Saccharomyces cerevisiae S288C: one gene and its partner. The protein of the gene in region 1 binds, or shares a complex with, the protein of each later gene. Each region holds a gene or a part of one and is shown on either strand. Other genes may lie near its edges. A codon is read from its position in the direction of its gene.

Evidence for each region.
Region 2: the proteins of BMS1 (region 1) and RCL1 are in contact, whole or in part, in a crystal structure (PDB 4CLQ), measured with the Saccharomyces cerevisiae proteins. Residues at the interface, in NP_015107.1 of Saccharomyces cerevisiae: Ile549 (codon at 3,383), Gly550 (codon at 3,386), Leu552 (codon at 3,392), Ile553 (codon at 3,395), Tyr554 (codon at 3,398), Met555 (codon at 3,401), Asp556 (codon at 3,404), Ile558 (codon at 3,410), Ser559 (codon at 3,413), Pro560 (codon at 3,416), Glu561 (codon at 3,419), Cys563 (codon at 3,425), Ile564 (codon at 3,428), Trp567 (codon at 3,437), Arg568 (codon at 3,440), Val606 (codon at 3,554), Asp607 (codon at 3,557), Leu608 (codon at 3,560), Glu609 (codon at 3,563), Lys610 (codon at 3,566), Phe611 (codon at 3,569), Val612 (codon at 3,572), Pro613 (codon at 3,575), Tyr614 (codon at 3,578), Phe615 (codon at 3,581), Asp616 (codon at 3,584), Phe618 (codon at 3,590), Leu621 (codon at 3,599), Ala622 (codon at 3,602), Lys624 (codon at 3,608); in NP_014633.1 of Saccharomyces cerevisiae: Ser14 (codon at 1,565), Gln15 (codon at 1,562), Asn16 (codon at 1,559), Phe17 (codon at 1,556), Arg18 (codon at 1,553), Leu19 (codon at 1,550), Glu49 (codon at 1,460), Lys94 (codon at 1,325), Tyr98 (codon at 1,313), Glu101 (codon at 1,304), His125 (codon at 1,232), Asn126 (codon at 1,229), Asp127 (codon at 1,226), Ala128 (codon at 1,223), Ala132 (codon at 1,211), Leu137 (codon at 1,196), Arg185 (codon at 1,052), Pro186 (codon at 1,049), Ile187 (codon at 1,046), Ile188 (codon at 1,043), Ile191 (codon at 1,034), Val215 (codon at 962), Asn218 (codon at 953), Leu219 (codon at 950), Gln220 (codon at 947), Cys221 (codon at 944), Tyr256 (codon at 839), Phe257 (codon at 836), Glu259 (codon at 830), Glu270 (codon at 797).

The regions. Positions count from the first base shown.
Region 1 is NC_001148.4:138,886-144,909, reverse strand, and holds BMS1 (GTPase BMS1), read left to right. Parts: upstream 1-1,738; coding exon 1,739-5,290; downstream 5,291-6,024. Other genes in the region: YPL216W (uncharacterized protein), read right to left, coding at 1-1,089; Arf family GTPase SAR1, read right to left, coding at 5,501-6,024. UniProt on the Saccharomyces cerevisiae protein: GTPase required for synthesis of 40S ribosomal subunits and for processing the 35S pre-rRNA at sites A0, A1, and A2.
Region 2 is NC_001147.6:305,872-309,541, reverse strand, and holds RCL1 (rRNA-processing endoribonuclease), read right to left. Parts: upstream 1,605-3,670; coding exon 501-1,604; downstream 1-500. Other genes in the region: ERMES complex subunit MDM12, read left to right, coding at 1-218; PLB3 (lysophospholipase), read right to left, coding at 2,133-3,670. UniProt on the Saccharomyces cerevisiae protein: Does not have cyclase activity. Plays a role in 40S-ribosomal-subunit biogenesis in the early pre-rRNA processing steps at sites A0, A1 and A2 that are required for proper maturation of the 18S RNA. RCL1 activates BMS1 by promoting GDP/GTP exchange.

The DNA of each region.
Region 1 (6,024 bases):
CTTATATTCTAAGGAGCTATCTAAGTAGCTGATATTTTCAAATGGTATCGAAGGCCCAGTGAATGGAAGCTCCTTGTCGTCGACGGTTCCCTTCAAATCATTGTAGGCAAGGGAGTTCACATTATCGTAAATGTGGTCAAATGAGACTGAAATCTCGTCGTCAATTGCTTTTATTTTAGATAGTGACGTTTCCGACGTTTCCGACGTTTCCGACGTTTCCTTCCAGTCAGCAGGTTCAACATCGCTCTCTGGTGGTATAGTAAGAGGAGTGTAAAGCTCGGAAGAAGATGAGTTCATTCTATCCGGCAAATAATCAATCATATTAGGAGAGCATTTAGGGTTTACATCATATCTTTCTATATATTCTTGTTTCACCCTCCATGGTGCGTGCTCCTTATTCGATACTTTTATGAGTATTTCATTAAGAAAACACGCAATTATGAATTTAGAAAAGTGTGATTCTGGCCTTTTAATTTCATTCTGGCCTACAATTAGGGCCGCACCTTTAGATTCTCGATTCAGGCATTCTGTGATTAAATACAGTGACAATTTTGGGGCAGAAATTTCTCCCTTTTCACTTTCCATCATCCCGTTAGATTGAAACACATCCTTGACAAGGAACAACGTGACATTGTTTTCAATAGTTGGTGATTCTACCAAGTTAGGCTCTCCTTCTTTATAGGTAATCAATGCATTTTTTTGGATAGTTTTCAAGCACACCGTATCGCCTATAAAGAAACGGTTACTAAAACGCTGAAATGCGCTTTCTACAAGGTGTCCTACCTTCCTTATCGGACTGAAGTTTGCGAAATTTGCTATAGCCTTCCTTAGTTCTTTTGGTAAAAGATATCTGACCTTTTCACGGTGCTGTTCTTCGCTTTTTAACGCCTTGAAATACGAAAGGCCATCTTTTCCACTAATCTCACAGGTGAATATATCCCTTTTGTAAAAATCTAGCTTTTTTAAATCACTGTCATAATCATTTATACGCTCGCTACTTTCTTTAATCACCCATGGAGTTTCAGAGAAGGAATCAGCAGACTGTCCTATTTCCTTAGGTTGTATTTTCCTTCTGTTAAGCAGAACCATTTTTGCTTTGAATTTAAAGTACGGCTAGAAGAAGAGCCAAACTAGGGATTGCGATTTTTACTGAATGAAAATGATTGTCTCTCTTACTAAGTCTGCTAACATTTATCAGGTTCATAATGTTTACTATTGAAGTGGCGCGTTACAAGAAAACAAGTCATCCCATATTGAAATGACAACAAATAGAAAAATACACATAATTCCATATCGCTAAATCACACTATCATATACAAAATGGACCAAAGTAAACAAATGTCGATTCATGCAAGTATTGTTACATATCTTGTCACTTTCTCTTCCAAAAGTTGAGGATAGCTGTAAAGGTGCATTTGCTAAACTCTCAGAAACTGCTGGTCCTAAACAATATCAAAACAAATATCAGATAGGTAAGCTTAGATTATTTTAAGGACATGTGAGCCATAGTGCAGATACTCGTACTACTGTTGTAAATATTTCTGTAATTTCAAAGTTGAGATTATCTAGATGAAGTTTTTTTTTTGTTATCGCCTAAGTTTAATGTCCGTACAAATGAAAAATTTTCAAGGCGATGAGCTGAAGTGAAGCTTCAAAATTAAGGAAAGTATTTGCGCTGTTAAGGTAAAAATATCACATAATAGTAGCCTTTAATCAGCCATCTGAGTTATCTGAAACGATGGAGCAGTCTAATAAACAGCACCGTAAGGCGAAGGAGAAGAATACAGCAAAAAAGAAGCTCCATACGCAGGGTCATAATGCAAAGGCCTTTGCCGTGGCAGCCCCAGGTAAGATGGCGAGAACTATGCAAAGGTCAAGTGATGTGAACGAAAGAAAACTGCATGTTCCTATGGTTGATCGTACCCCTGAAGATGATCCGCCTCCATTTATCGTCGCTGTCGTGGGTCCACCTGGAACAGGAAAGACTACTTTGATTCGGTCCCTCGTCAGGAGAATGACAAAAAGCACTTTGAATGATATTCAAGGTCCTATTACTGTTGTCTCTGGTAAACATAGAAGACTAACTTTTTTGGAGTGCCCTGCGGACGATCTGAATGCGATGATTGATATTGCTAAGATTGCCGACTTGGTTCTTTTACTAATTGACGGTAATTTCGGTTTTGAAATGGAAACAATGGAATTCTTAAATATTGCTCAACATCACGGTATGCCAAGAGTACTTGGTGTAGCTACACATCTTGATCTGTTTAAATCTCAGTCAACTTTGAGAGCTTCTAAGAAAAGATTAAAGCACAGATTCTGGACGGAAGTTTATCAAGGTGCAAAATTATTTTACCTATCTGGTGTGATTAATGGAAGGTATCCTGATAGAGAGATTTTAAACCTTTCACGATTTATATCTGTTATGAAATTCAGACCATTAAAATGGAGGAACGAACATCCCTATATGTTGGCTGACAGATTCACAGATTTAACTCATCCGGAATTAATAGAGACTCAAGGACTGCAAATCGACCGCAAAGTCGCTATCTATGGTTATTTGCACGGTACTCCTTTGCCTTCTGCTCCGGGCACTAGGGTGCATATTGCTGGTGTTGGTGATTTCTCAGTAGCACAAATTGAAAAATTACCAGATCCATGTCCCACACCTTTTTACCAACAGAAACTGGATGATTTTGAACGTGAAAAAATGAAAGAAGAGGCAAAGGCTAACGGAGAAATTACAACTGCCTCTACGACAAGAAGACGTAAAAGGTTAGATGATAAAGATAAATTGATATATGCTCCAATGTCCGATGTCGGAGGTGTGTTGATGGATAAGGATGCTGTTTATATTGATATTGGAAAGAAAAATGAAGAGCCAAGTTTTGTTCCCGGCCAAGAAAGAGGTGAAGGAGAAAAACTCATGACGGGTTTACAAAGTGTTGAACAAAGTATTGCAGAGAAATTTGATGGTGTGGGTTTGCAATTGTTTAGCAACGGCACTGAGCTTCATGAAGTTGCCGATCATGAAGGCATGGATGTTGAAAGTGGAGAAGAAAGTATTGAGGACGATGAAGGAAAGAGCAAGGGAAGAACCAGTTTAAGAAAACCAAGAATTTATGGTAAGCCAGTTCAAGAAGAAGACGCAGATATTGATAATTTACCGAGTGATGAAGAACCTTATACAAATGATGACGACGTGCAGGACTCCGAACCAAGGATGGTTGAAATCGATTTCAATAATACCGGTGAGCAGGGTGCCGAAAAATTAGCTTTGGAAACAGATTCTGAATTTGAAGAGAGTGAAGATGAGTTTTCCTGGGAAAGAACAGCGGCAAACAAGCTGAAGAAAACTGAAAGTAAGAAAAGGACCTGGAATATCGGTAAGCTGATATACATGGACAACATTTCACCTGAAGAATGTATAAGAAGGTGGAGGGGCGAGGACGACGATAGTAAAGACGAAAGTGACATTGAAGAAGATGTTGATGATGACTTCTTCAGGAAAAAAGATGGTACTGTTACAAAAGAGGGCAATAAAGACCATGCAGTTGATTTGGAAAAGTTTGTTCCATATTTCGACACTTTCGAAAAATTGGCTAAAAAATGGAAAAGCGTTGATGCAATCAAAGAGCGATTCCTCGGCGCAGGCATTTTAGGTAATGATAATAAAACGAAAAGTGACTCTAATGAAGGTGGGGAAGAACTATACGGCGATTTTGAAGATCTAGAAGATGGAAACCCTTCTGAACAAGCAGAAGACAATAGTGACAAAGAAAGTGAGGATGAGGATGAAAACGAAGACACTAATGGAGATGATGATAATTCATTCACTAATTTTGATGCGGAGGAAAAAAAGGACTTAACCATGGAGCAAGAAAGAGAAATGAATGCTGCAAAGAAGGAAAAACTACGTGCACAATTCGAGATAGAAGAAGGTGAAAACTTTAAAGAAGATGATGAAAACAATGAATATGATACATGGTATGAACTACAGAAGGCCAAGATATCTAAACAGTTAGAAATTAACAATATAGAATATCAAGAAATGACTCCAGAACAACGTCAAAGAATCGAAGGTTTCAAAGCTGGTTCTTATGTACGTATCGTTTTCGAAAAAGTCCCAATGGAATTTGTCAAGAATTTCAATCCAAAATTTCCAATTGTTATGGGTGGTTTATTGCCGACCGAAATAAAGTTCGGTATTGTCAAAGCCAGGTTGAGAAGACATCGTTGGCATAAGAAGATTTTGAAGACAAATGACCCACTGGTCTTGTCTTTGGGTTGGAGAAGGTTCCAAACTTTACCAATTTATACAACAACTGACTCTAGAACAAGAACCAGAATGCTAAAGTATACACCAGAACACACATATTGTAATGCGGCTTTCTACGGTCCCTTATGTTCTCCAAACACACCTTTTTGTGGTGTTCAAATTGTTGCTAATAGTGATACCGGGAACGGTTTTAGAATTGCAGCAACAGGTATCGTTGAAGAGATAGACGTTAATATTGAAATTGTTAAAAAGTTAAAATTAGTTGGGTTTCCATATAAAATTTTCAAAAATACTGCCTTTATAAAGGACATGTTTTCAAGTGCTATGGAAGTTGCAAGGTTTGAGGGTGCGCAGATCAAAACTGTCTCGGGTATCCGTGGTGAAATCAAAAGGGCACTTTCAAAGCCTGAGGGTCACTATAGGGCAGCCTTTGAGGATAAAATCCTAATGAGTGATATTGTAATTCTAAGATCATGGTATCCTGTCCGCGTCAAGAAATTCTATAATCCTGTTACCTCACTATTGTTGAAGGAAAAAACCGAGTGGAAAGGTTTAAGATTGACAGGCCAAATAAGAGCGGCTATGAACCTGGAAACACCGTCGAATCCGGACAGTGCATATCATAAAATAGAACGTGTAGAAAGACACTTCAATGGTCTAAAGGTCCCAAAAGCTGTTCAAAAGGAATTGCCATTCAAATCTCAGATCCATCAAATGAAACCACAAAAGAAGAAAACATATATGGCTAAAAGAGCCGTGGTGCTAGGTGGTGATGAAAAGAAGGCAAGATCATTCATTCAAAAAGTATTGACGATTTCGAAAGCCAAAGACAGCAAGAGGAAGGAACAGAAGGCTAGTCAACGTAAGGAAAGATTGAAAAAATTAGCTAAGATGGAGGAAGAAAAATCACAAAGGGATAAGGAGAAAAAGAAAGAATACTTCGCCCAGAATGGTAAAAGAACAACTATGGGCGGTGACGATGAATCTCGTCCACGTAAGATGAGGAGGTAAACTTTCATGTATATATATATATATACATATATATATGTATACTTAAGATGTATCATACTTTTATTCAATCTTAGAGTCTAAAATATACTATGATCGCGGAAATGCTGTGCTCAAAAGTTATGAGGTGGCATCCTATGCAATTTTGTTGATTATTACAAAGCTGTTGAATTCATGTGAATGTCATATAAAGGGTATAGATGTATACGTCAATTAAATATATTGAGATAACCATTGGAACGCCTCTAAATAACCATTTCTCATAACAACGGAACACATGAAAACTTCAACTGGTCTTTGACCTTCAATTCTTTGAGAGCCAGTGGTATTCAATAATCCTAAAGCAGAACGTAGCTCCGCTTCAGAAACGGCGTTTGGAGCATCGATCTTGTTACCAAGAATTACAAAAGGAACGTCCTTCAATTCGGCAATGTTGAATAAAGCATCTAATTCGACACGTGCTTCATCAAATCTTTCAGGGTCAGCAGCATCGACTAAAAAGACGATACCATTAACTTCTGGGAAATAATCCTTCCATAAACGACGAGCTTGAATATGACCACCCAAATCGAAAGTTGTAAACTTAATGTTACCAATAGCCAGTTCTTCAGAAGTTGGATGCCATGTTGGTTGTAAGGTTGCCAATCTATCGTTCTTTAACATATGTAGCAATGTGGTCTTACCGGCATTATCCAAACCCAAGAAAAGTAGTTTACCATGTTTGTTCCACAGACCAA
Region 2 (3,670 bases), on another chromosome or scaffold:
CAATTCTGGCAGCTACTAAGCCATTGGAGCGAATATCCATTGTGAGAAGTATGAAGATTGAAACCGAAATAGGGGAACAATATCAGGGACAGGGCTCAGTATTAAGAAGTGTTGGAGAACTAGAACAGTTTTTGTTTACGATATTCAAAGATTTTTTAAGAAAGGAGTTAGCATGGCCAAGTTGGATTAATCTGGATTTCAACGATGGTGATGAGTAATTTAACAAAGATAGTTTGAAAATAGTGTCTACATAAAAAAACAAACATTTTTGAGCTGGAAAATTATATTTTGTCATGAAGTAATCTATTCTTAACGCGCTTTTCGCATACGCTCTTTGATGATATTTTAGATGACCCAAAAGAGTTAAAGGAAATCATCAATGATCCTCCAGTAATCTTATACTCTAGACAGTTGTCCGTGAAGTTACACCTAAATAATCATATATATATATATAACTTATATACAGTGGTCTAATATCTATTGAATAATATTAGAACATGCTATGCAATCTTTTTGCTTGTGTTTGTGAAACCAATACCCTTGATAGTAGCTATCATGTCTTCATTATCCGCCTCGTCAACTGGTTTTAAAAAGACTTCAGTATTAAAGATCTTCTTAATATCTCTCAAGAGGATTATGAATCTTTCGTCTATCTGTTCCTTATTAATTCTCAATCTGCCGATATCTTCTTTCCCGATGACCATGTAAACAATTGCTAATGGAAGCTGGTTTCTACCAACTGCTGCACTCTTTGATATTTCTTCTAATAATTGACAGGCAACTTTTTCACCAAGTTCTTCAGGTATAGAACCTGCATCACCGATATCTTCTGCAAAATAACTCCAACCTTTCTGCTTGGACTGAGCAACCAAAGTAATACCCCAGCCTGGACTCTTCCCTGAATTTTCACCTCTCCAGACATCTGCCGTTATGTTAACTTCGCATTGCAGATTTTTCAATACCTTCTTAGCACCATCGATCATTCTATTCACAAGCGACGGACTTACTCTGGTAGAGTATGCTACACCGGTAATCGATGAAATTATGGGCCTATCTATTTCATGCATAGTTATAGGTTGCGCAATCAAAGAATCAACAACCAAATGCACTTCGCCACCTCCTAGTGGTGGTGAACCTCTTTTCAAAGTATGTAGGGCGCACTCTCTAACGCCAAATTTTTCCATAACGGGCATGAGTCCCCATTTGATAGCTTCAATACCGGCATCGTTGTGAGATGCAGTTATGCCTTTGAATAATATAGAAAATTTCTTTTTTGAAAATGGAGCCAAATATAGCATTGGTTCGACGAAATAACCTACCGGTTTGGAACTAGGGCAGATATGAGTTGATGCACCACCAACTATGATACCGGGCCTATAAATCACAGTAGTACCGGTATAAGAAATTTCAATTACACTCCCGTTGGTGACCGACTCGATCAGCCTTAGAAAAGACACTTCATAATCTTTCAGACCGGGATTTAAGTCGCCTGAACGGATTTTTTCAATTTTTATTGGTTTCCCTGATAATGTTGCCAAGACGATCCGTAACCTAAAATTTTGTGACCCTTGGAAAGTGGTGTATTTGGGGGCGGAAGATGACATTGCTATACTTTTGGAGGATTATCCTAGTGGAAAAGTGTTGACAATGGTGAAGCTTGACAGATGTTATACCCTTACAACATACGTAGCTTATGAAGGCTCATCTCATCGGCACTTTTTTGCAAATTTTTCTGAAATTTTTTCAATCTCGAGTCCGTGAAAAATTACATTACCAATATGGCGAGGGTAATTCTGACATCCTCCTTCAAAGTAAGTGCAAGTAATAAAAGCAACTTGACTACCCATTTAAAGTATTAATACGCTTTGCGCGGGGTTATAATTATAAAGTTATATCTTTTAAAGAAGAGGTCTGCTATATATAGACCTCCGATGTCATTAGTGAAGTTCCTTAAACATGGTCTTGCCCGAAAGGGATGATACTTCAATGCAAAGGGGAAATGCTCATTTTCTTTTTTTATTTTAGTTTTTTAGTGATTTTGCTAGTCTTTCAGCTTTATGTTTCGTTATTTTATAGTGTAGTTCTTTGATTTTTATTGCCTCATTTTGTATACCGTTATTACGCAAGAGATATTATACTGCTCCGGTAAACATCAATAAAGTAAGCATAATCATAGCAGAGAACTTTACACTTATGCCAGATAAATGTGATCCAGAATTAGTAGCTGCCTTTTTCTCAAGGGTTGCAGTAGCCGAAGGAATTTCCGAAGACGAAGATGAAGACGATGATGAAGACGATGACTGGGAAGCTGAAGATCCGGCGTAAAGACTTTCTTCTTGTCCTATGGAGCTGTTGAAGCTATTGACGTTGATAAAGGAGTGGTGAACATCCTTTTCAACATCTGGTAATGGGGTAGTATCCAGGGTACCATTCCAGCAATAATTTTTAAAACAGGTTTCACATTCCGGAGGCAAAGTAATATTCAAAGCTTGTTGCTTACGTCTAATGATGGCGCAGCCGACGCAGCCCATGAATTCAGGATCATCAGTGAAGTTGTTCCTAGTTGCAATTTCAAACCCGTTTTGAATCATACTTCTTCTTTGGGATTCGGAATATGATAGCTTGAACGCGCTCTGATTACTATTGAAAGAGTATTCTGCATTTGGCAGATAAACAACTAGAGGTGGAATATATTGAAGATCGGTCAAATTATTAGCATCGCAACCGAAGAAGGTTGGTTTCTTGTTCAAACCCAAATTAACGAATGTATTCGTATCTGGAACATATGGGAAGGACATACCTTGACCTTGCTTAACGAATTGACGCTCATAGGTATGGACTAAAGAAGAACCGTCAGGCCAAGCCAATCTCATATCGGCAGAATTATCTACCGCAAAAATAATGTCCACATCACGTTCCTTTTGTATAAGCGGTAACACAGGAACATTTTCGTCGTCTTCACCGCCGTCAACTAAGAATAGGCTGTCTGAATCAACAATACTTGTCGTATAGTCACTATCCAAAAACTTCGTGTCTTTAAATGGATTAGGACTGTAAACAGCGATATCATTAAAATCTTGAGATAAATCCTTTAGAAAATGTCTTGCTAATCTTGTGATGAAACTAGGTAAGTGAGTGGAGTTTATTCTCAAAAGAAACTGGTTAAATAAGGTGGAGGAAGTACCCATGATAAAACCTGCATTATCAAAGCCTGCGGTACATTTTCCCCTTTCCAATGGTACACCATTGGAGACATTCGTTCCAAGGTACTTAACGTTGGCAAAAGAGTTCAAAGAGGGATCCCAGGATCCCATTTCAAAGGGATTAAATTCAAAAACCGTTGCGTTCAAATTGATGACTTTTGTTCCAGGATACCTACCGTCCGCAACAGAAATTGGAAAAGGCATTTCAGCATTTTGAAACACTGGGAAATCCCTAATGGAAGACCAAGTCAGGCCTATACCCCCTCTATTTAGAGAAGGGAAAAAATTATACGCCAAGGCTCTGCCCCAAATATCGGCCAAAGAAGTATTGTAATCGGCGTTCTGCTTAGATTCGACAGCATTAGAGATATGATCCCACCTTTTGGCTGTTTTGAATATATTAATGCCGCCGGGGGTAACAATAGAATCTGACAAATCCCAAATAGAATCGTCGTTCTGCATATTAT